Linked DNA regions of Nothobranchius furzeri. The protein of the gene in region 2 binds, or shares a complex with, the protein of the main gene of each other region. Links are inferred from orthologs where the notes say so. Each region holds a gene or a part of one and is shown on either strand. Other genes may lie near its edges. The genes, in order: cstf1 and cstf3.

Region 1 (4,271 bases), on a different chromosome or scaffold from region 2:
ACCGCTCCTATCTTTCCCCATTATAACTTTTGTGAATTTTTCTGAAAATTTCATGTCGTACCTCAACTTCTACCTGCGATTTTAGAAAAACCATAAAAGATATCAAAAAGCCTCTTTAATATGTTAAACGGGAAAGTCTTGTGAGTTTGTTAAACTTTGAATGAAGTCTCTAAGTTAAAAGGAACCCTATAGAGTTTTAGGTCAAAAAAGTGATAGGAATTAGCTGAAAATTGACCAATCCCATTCATTTCAATGGGAAATGTTTTGCTGAAAAGGCTTAACTCGAAAAATTTTAAAGATATCAATGCCAAAAGTAAGAGGCGGAAAGAGCTTGACGAGCTGAACGTTTTGATATAAAATTTTTGAAATAGTAAAAAATTTGAAGGAGTAGAAAAGGTTCAAAAAGTGTACGGAAGCAGAAGAAGAAGAACTAGAAAAACAGGAAAACAATAGTTTGAATGCTTAACAGCATTCAAACTATTATATTAGAAAAAGTAATATGGTTAAAAAACAGGAAGATGGTGGAATAAGTGCACTAAACTTTGTGTTAATGGTACCATTCAAATCAACTGGTTGAGGAACTTTATTAGTGACCATGATAGTTTTTGGTTTCATATTCCAAACACGATATTCAAAAAACTTGGGGGCATAACCTTTCTCCTCAGATGTGACCATGATATCAGAAAGCTCCACATCAAGCTAGCGCTCTTTCACCAGCAAGTACTCTTATATTGGAAGCTGATCTATAAACACAATTTCAGCCCCCATTCTACCCCCTTTTGGAAATGTAGGTACGTAATTTCAAGAAATTAATCTCTGTATTACCAAAACTGGGTTGATAAAGGTGTCTGGTCAGTACTACATATGTTAGATGACTATAGCCAATGCATATCGTTTGATGCTTTTAAAACACAATACGACCTGCATAATAGAGAGGAATATGTAAAGGTAATCAAAATGATTGCGGAGTCTATTTGACTAATATCCCATAATTTAAAGATAAATAATATAATTCCCAGACTCCCAGCTGTTCACCTTGGTGGGCTCGCTTTTAAAAGACACGAAAAAATTAACCAGTACATCTATACGTAGGCATTACATTCAAATACTTCATCCGTGCTCTCCGATAAGATTCTAATATCTTGTTATCCATCTTCGGAGACCCAAAAGAGAATTAGAAGTCACTTCTTTAAATACCCAATTGCTCAGAAAGTTAAAGAAATGCTATTTAAAATTGGGTGAACTCCTGTGGCTTAGATTTAACTTAGACCACGATGGCTGTGCCTTTTGCGGCTTGGAGATGGAAACTACTTGCCACATATTCTTTGACTGTAACTGCACAAAGGTTTTTTTGGGCACGAGTGGAAGGCTGGTTAAAATCCAAAATACAGATGCTGCCTACATTCTCAGAACATAATGTTTTATTTGGGTTTTTTCAGCAATAAAAGAAACTGACCTGATTTTAAATGTCATTGTACTTTTAGGTAAATTTTTATAAATAAGAACCGTGCTCTGAAAAATACCCCATATTTGCCTCCTTTTCAGAAAGAAATTGATCTTTTCTTTAGGTCTCAAGCTCAAGAAAAGTAGTAAAGCAACAATTCTATACTCTGCAATGGAAAAATATCTGTTAACCTCTGACTCCTAACACAAATATGGATTTGTAATATGATATCTCCCCATTTTTTATTTATTTTTTTCCTGTGTGTTGTTTTCCTTTAGCTAATTCCACAGTTATGTTAAAGTATTTGGTCTTACTGGAACTCTTTTCAAGGTACTTCTGTCTGCCTGTAAAATTGATTGTTATTCAATGAGAGTACTATGCCATGTTATTGTTCTGATACTTAAAATAAAATAAAAAATAAAATAAAAATAAAACCCAATTTCTCATGCTGACACAATGTTTCATCTGAGCTACTCTACACACTTCTCTCCAGTAGGTTGTGCAACTGCACTCAGCAGTACTACGCTACATTGACCACCTATAAACTCGACAAAATATTGCCATTAAAGCGTTTTCTAACCCACAAACTGCAGTTTGTTGAAAATGAGGACAAATATTTTTTTCTGTGAAAAGCGACTCTGATATCTGCAGTCGCCTGCAGGCAGTAATGCATTGGTGCAGCACTTACATTCAATCTGACCTAAGATCACCGCGCACCTGGGCCTTTGCATCATCCTAATTAACCCCACAATGGCTATAACCCTGATCTTCATCTGAAGCTAAATGAGGTAAAGTGAAGAGTTCCTGTTGTCCTGCTGTCGGACAAACAGGACAGGACAGGGTGGTGTCTTACCGATCTTAGCCAGCTGCATCAGCTGCTCGGACGGAGACACCACATTCTGAGGCTTGACCTCGTTGATGAGGCTGTTGGCGACGTTGGTGTACCCGTCATGAAGCAGCTGGCCTATGATGAGCCTATAAAGGTGCTGTCGGTCCTTCAGGGTGGGTTTAGGACGAAACATGATGCTCCCTCAGCTGCAGCGGCTAGTAATCTGTAACCAAGCACAGCAAAACTTATCCCAGCACTAGGCTAGCTCCTCTAGCGTCATCTATGACAGCACAGGCTAAAGCAGAGCTAAACCCCAGTCAAACAGAGCAGGGTGGACTGAATGAAACGGCTATGATGCTAACAGCGTTAGCTTTAACCGAACAAACTGCTGCAGGTAGACAGCAGCAGCGTAAGCTGAACCAAGTGCTGCAGTAAGACAAACAACCGGGCGAACGAACCCGGCGACACTTCAGACGCTTTCCCGGCTTCTTCAAACGTAACAACTAAAAATACTAACCTCTCTAATCCCAAACCCAAACGTGCGTTACGTTTTACGTAAAGATCGTGCTCACGTGACGTTGACGTCATGTTACTGTGTTGTAACTTTATTGACAAACCACACAGATGACACGAGTTTCAGAATTGTTCCTCAGTTAGGAGGAGTTTTAAGAGACGACCCATAGTAAAAACACGAAAACAGAGTTTGGAGTTAGTCCACTTTCACCTGTTTCATCAGGTGTAGTAGTTCGATAATAAACTATTGTGGAAACCCCATGTTAGACACGTAAAGACAAACATCTCCACAGGCATCTCAATTTTAAATAAAGCAAACCATTCATGGAAGAGAATGTACCCCGTGATCCTCCTCCATCTGCTCCTATTCTCCAGTCCCGCCCTACGTCGTCTCAGACAATCAGATCCGGTTTCATCTCCATCCCTCCTGTACATGTTGATGCCGTCTCAGCACCTCAGATGAGTCCACCCTCCACTTCACAGCAGCAAAGAGTCCGGGTTTCATCTCCTGATCGGCGTTGCTGGCGAGGCACGGTTCCTCCTGACGCCACCTCCAGTCTTCTGGTGGGTCAGGTTGCTAAGGGAGCTGAATCCTCACCTCAAGGTCTGCGCTCTTGGTCAGTAGATGTCCCAGAAATCTCCTCTTCTCCCCCGTTTCTGCCAACATTATCCCCGCACCTCCGAGGAGACGCACTCGTCACAAACATCACCACCATCACCAGCAGTCTCCTGAAGCCAGAGCTGTGCCGCCTGTCCAAGACGCCCCTGCTCTGCAACCCCCTTCTGAGCTCCATCTACCATCACCACATCTTGCCTCAGCGGTGGTCCAAGAGGACGCATCGCTTCCTGCTTCGGCGGTGGAGGACGCAGAGGCTCCGGTCCAGCCCATCCACGAGGCTCCGGTCCAGCCCGTCCACGAGGCTCCGGTCCAGCCAGTCCACGAGGCTCCGGTCCAGCCAGTCCGAGAGGCTTCGCCCAGTCCGACGCCTCCAGCCCAAGGGTCAACTCCTCCAGCCCAAGGGTCGACGCCTCCAGCCCAAGGGTCGACGCCTCCAGCCCAAGGGTCGACGCCTCCAGTCCAAGGGTCGACGCCCTCAGGCCAGAAGTCGACGCCCCCAGGCCAGAAGTCGACGCCTCCTGTCTCGAAGTCAGCAGAAGTAGACGTTTCCAGCTCTGAAGTAGGCATCTCCAGCTCCAGCTCTGAAGTAGACGTTTCCAGCTCTGAAGTGGACGTTCCTGTCTCCAGCTCTGAAGTGGAAGTCTCCCAGTTACAAGTGTTTCTGTCTCAAGTCTCCCAGTTACAAGTGTTTCTGTCTCAAGTCTCCCAGTTACAAATGATCCTGTCTCAAAAGTCTCAAGTCTCCCAAGTCTCAAGTCTCCCCACAAGTGTTCCAGTCTCCCAAGTCTCAAGTGTTCCAGTCACAGTCCCTGTCTCCAGAGACCTTTCCTCGTCCTCCTCCTCCAAGACCCCCTACCCTCAGGCTT
Region 2 (3,816 bases):
CTCAGATTTGGGTGGACTACATTAATTTCCTTAAAGGAGTGTAAGTGTTTTCCACAGTTTTTATATCATTAAAGTTAGTGTGCTCAACTCTTGAATTCCATGCATGATTTATTTATTTGTGTGTGTGTGTGTGTGTTTACCTAGTGAGGCCGTGGGCTCATACGCAGAGAATCAGCGCATCACTGCAGTACGGAGAGTGTACCAAAGAGGCTGTGTGAACCCCATGATCAACATTGAACAGCTCTGGAGAGATTATAGCAAATATGAGGAGGCAAGTGACCCAAATACCGCCCTCTTGTTGTTTTGCCTATAGCACCTTTAGCTTGCTCATTATTCCTGCACAGTATTTCTTGGTGAAACACATGGGAACTCAAACACCAAGCTCTGTTTTGAGAACACGTGCAGTTTCAGTGTAAACATGCAAGCATGAAAAACAACGATGGTTCGCATGAGACGCCCTGAAGAGGAGGCCACTGTCTTCCAAACCAAACGCACTGGTCAGCTCAACAGCTGATCTTTCTCAGAAAACTAGAGGAAACCACAAAAAACCAAAAGTATAATGAAGCACGGTGGTGGCAGTACCACGGTTTTGTTCATGCTGCTGCTTCTGTATCTGCTGGATTCACAAACTTTGATTTTCAGGTGTTTAAAAAACTGACGGATCCCCGGTCTGATCTGCCTACATTTATCCACAGGGGATCAATGTGCATTTGGCTAAAAAGATGATTGAAGATCGGAGCAGAGATTACATGAATGCAAGGAGGGTGGCAAAGGTGAGACGTCCATCAAAGATCTGTACAGGTTACTCATCCTAAAAACTCATACAGGTCTGTTTCCCAACATTCAGGAGTATGAGACGGTGATGAAAGGACTAGACAGGAACGCACCTTCAGTACCGCCACAGAACTCTCCTCAGGAGGCCCAGCAGGTGGAAATGTGGAAGAAGTACATCCAGTGGGAGAAAAGCAACCCACTACGCACAGAAGACCAGACCCTCATCACAAAAAGAGGTAACCAGTTTGAGTTGAACCTTGTTGTTGAAGCTCTTTTTTAGGTAATGGATGTACACATATGGATATTTAACTCATTTTTAAATTCAACCACCAGGGGGCAGCATTTTACACTTTCTCCTTTTTCAATCTAACCCAGGCTTCTACTTGCATTCATTGGAATTTAATTGTATTTATTTGTTGTGTGTTGCAGTGATGTTTGCCTATGAGCAGTGCCTGCTGGTGCTGGGCCACCATCCTGACATCTGGTATGAGGCAGCCCAGTACCTGGAGCAGTCCAGCAAACTGCTGGCAGAGAAAGGAGTAAGAAGATCAAATATCAATCAAATGGCCTTCGATCAAAGACGTTTCCAGATTATTATTTAACTTTTCCTTCCAACAGGACATGAATAATTCTAAACTGTTCAGCGACGAAGCAGCTAACATCTACGAGCGTGCCATTGGGACTCTTCTGAAAAAGAACATGCTTCTCTATTTTGCGTTTGCCGACTATGAAGAAGTAAGTGTGTGATTTAATGTTCGGCGTAAACAAGTCGAGAGGAAAAGCAGCACTAGAGCGTCTCAGCTCATTTCCTCTCGGTGCCTCCACAGAGCCGCATGAAGTACGAGAAAGTGCACGGCATCTACAACAAACTGCTGGCCGTGGAGGACATCGACCCCACGCTGGTCTACATCCAGTACATGAAATTCACCAGGAGGGCAGAGGGCATCAAATCGGGCCGGACCATCTTCAAGAAGGCGCGAGAGGATCCCCGCACGCGTCACCACGTGTACGTGACTGCAGCACTGATGGAATACTACTGCAGCAAAGTAAGACCACGACACACGGCCTCCTCCAAACAACTCTTTCTACCTGGTTTCTAATTCCCTTCCTTTCTTCTGCAGGACAAATCTGTGGCCTTTAAGATTTTTGAGCTTGGTTTGAAGAAGTACGGTGACATTCCAGAGTACATACTCGCTTACATCGATTATCTCTCACACCTTAACGGTAGGGGAGAATCCTCTAGAACATCTCTTTATTGCTGACTCTTAAAGCATGAAGTCTGTCCCTAAAAGTGCCCTTTTTTCTTCTCAGAGGATAACAACACACGGGTTTTGTTTGAGCGTGTTCTAACCTCAGGAAGCTTATCACCAGAAAAGTCTGGGTATGGCCACGCTTCTGTTGAGCTGTGTGTGTTTTTGCCAAAGCGTCACGTTAACATCCACAAACCTCTGGTTCCTCAGAGAGATCTGGGCTCGGTTCCTGGCGTTTGAGAGCAACATAGGAGACCTGGCCAGTATTCTCAAAGTAGAGCGCCGGCGCTTCACTGCCTTCAGAGACGAATACGAGGGCAAAGAAACGGCCCTGCTTGTGGACCGGTACAAGTTCATGGACCTGTATCCCTGCTCCACCAGCGAACTCAAAGCCCTTGGCTACAAGGTGTGCAGACTGCTCATGTTGTTTACAGCCATGGGGTTCGATCCAGCGTAGTTTTGTGTTGACATGAACTGATCATTGTCCTCAGGATGTGTCTCGTGCCAAACTGGCAGCACTGCTTCCAGAAACCGTGGTAGCACCCTCTTTGCCTACACTAAAGGATGAAATCGATCAGAAACCCAAGTACCCCAAACCAGACACCAATCAGATGATCCCCTTCCAGCCACGTCACCTTGCTCGTACGTGATCCCTTCCAGAGCATCACAGATTCACCTATTTCCAAACAGACCCGACGCATTAATGGATTTCTCTTTGATGTTTTTTCTCTGCAGCTCCAGGCCTACACCCTGTCCCTGGTGGAGTTTTCCCAGTCCCCCCAGCAGCTGTTGTTCTAATGAAGCTGCTTCCACCACCCATGTGCTTCACTGTGAGTCGCAGGCTGCAGCTGAGTGCTGATAATCTATATTTGGTGTTGTGTTTGCTTCACAGCCAGACAGGACACGGGAAAGATATATATATATATATATATATATATATATATGGTGTTAAAAGGATTTTTGTTGTAAAATGTCTTAGAAAGCTTTTTTTTTGTGACTGTAGGGCCCTTTTGTTCAAGTGGATGAGCTGATGGAAACTTTGAGGAGATGCACACTTCCTGAGAGTGAGCCACTTTTTTGTTGCTGTACAACGAAAATTGTCTTTTTTAACAGAAATGGTAAATGTCCTCCTGAACTTTGCTTTAGCTGTTGAGGCTGCTGTAGAGCTGATCACCGGCAGACTGCCCGATGCCAGTGGGGAAGGAAACGGAGCCATGGAGAACCACGCTATCGCCAAGGCACTGAAGAGGCCTAATGCTGACTCTGACGAGGAGGACGACAAAGGAGCTGTGGCTCCGCCCATACACGACATCTACCGTGCACGCCAACAGAAAAGGATTCGATGAACTCAAACATCAAAGTAAACCCTTCGAGAATGTACTCGTCTTATGGTGGTTAAAGATCAGTTAGTCATGTCTGCTCTACCAGTCTGCAGATATCCTGATGAGTGCACACACACACACACACACACAGAACCATTCAAAGTGTGTGTGTGCACCCAAGTGTTCCTGTGACTTTTGTTTTGTCAGCAGTTTTTATTTTTGAAGACTGAACAGTTTACTGTACATTTTTAACTCGATTGTGGATTTCTGTATCCAGCTCACCGTTGATCTTATGTTTCAGCCACAAAGTGCAAGAAATTTGTTTTGTTTTAGATAACTGGAGGAAACACAGTTTCTGTGAATGAAAGTGGATAAAAGCAACCATTGTGTGTGTGTTTTTTTATTATTTATCACTGGTAATATGGCTTCAAAATCTCAAGTGAATGTTTTTAGTAAATGAGTTGCAGACT

Evidence for each region.
Region 1: the proteins of cstf3 (region 2) and cstf1 are in contact, whole or in part, in a crystal structure (PDB 6B3X), measured with the Homo sapiens proteins. The link is inferred for Nothobranchius furzeri from reciprocal best matches to the Homo sapiens genes CSTF3 and CSTF1. Residues at the interface, in NP_001317.1 of Homo sapiens: Tyr581, Pro582, Lys583, Pro584, Asp585, Thr586, Gln588, Met589, Ile590, Pro591, Phe592, Pro594; in NP_001028693.1 of Homo sapiens: Arg118, Glu216, Ala217, His226, Pro227, Ser228, Asp230, Phe231, Thr240, Arg242, Leu243, Tyr244, Cys251, Phe252, Val253, Ser254, Cys255, Tyr270, Ser272, Ser273, Ala274, Asn275, Gly291, Val292, Ser293, Asn294.

What each region holds. Positions count from the first base shown.
Region 1 is NC_091743.1:5,435,567-5,439,837, reverse strand, and holds the start of cstf1 (cleavage stimulation factor subunit 1), read right to left. Parts: upstream 2,873-4,271; 5' UTR 2,791-2,872; exon of another isoform or gene 2,732-2,790; intron 2,497-2,731; 5' UTR 2,467-2,496; coding exon 2,298-2,466; intron 1-2,297. UniProt on the Homo sapiens protein: One of the multiple factors required for polyadenylation and 3'-end cleavage of mammalian pre-mRNAs. May be responsible for the interaction of CSTF with other factors to form a stable complex on the pre-mRNA.
Region 2 is NC_091749.1:32,981,381-32,985,196, reverse strand, and holds the end of cstf3 (cleavage stimulation factor subunit 3), read left to right. Parts: intron 1-5; coding exon 6-40; intron 41-144; coding exon 145-271; intron 272-695; coding exon 696-773; intron 774-847; coding exon 848-1,010; intron 1,011-1,203; coding exon 1,204-1,313; intron 1,314-1,392; coding exon 1,393-1,509; intron 1,510-1,601; coding exon 1,602-1,820; intron 1,821-1,895; coding exon 1,896-1,998; intron 1,999-2,085; coding exon 2,086-2,155; intron 2,156-2,234; coding exon 2,235-2,430; intron 2,431-2,515; coding exon 2,516-2,666; intron 2,667-2,759; coding exon 2,760-2,854; intron 2,855-3,027; coding exon 3,028-3,088; intron 3,089-3,170; coding exon 3,171-3,370; 3' UTR 3,371-3,727; downstream 3,728-3,816. UniProt on the Homo sapiens protein: One of the multiple factors required for polyadenylation and 3'-end cleavage of mammalian pre-mRNAs.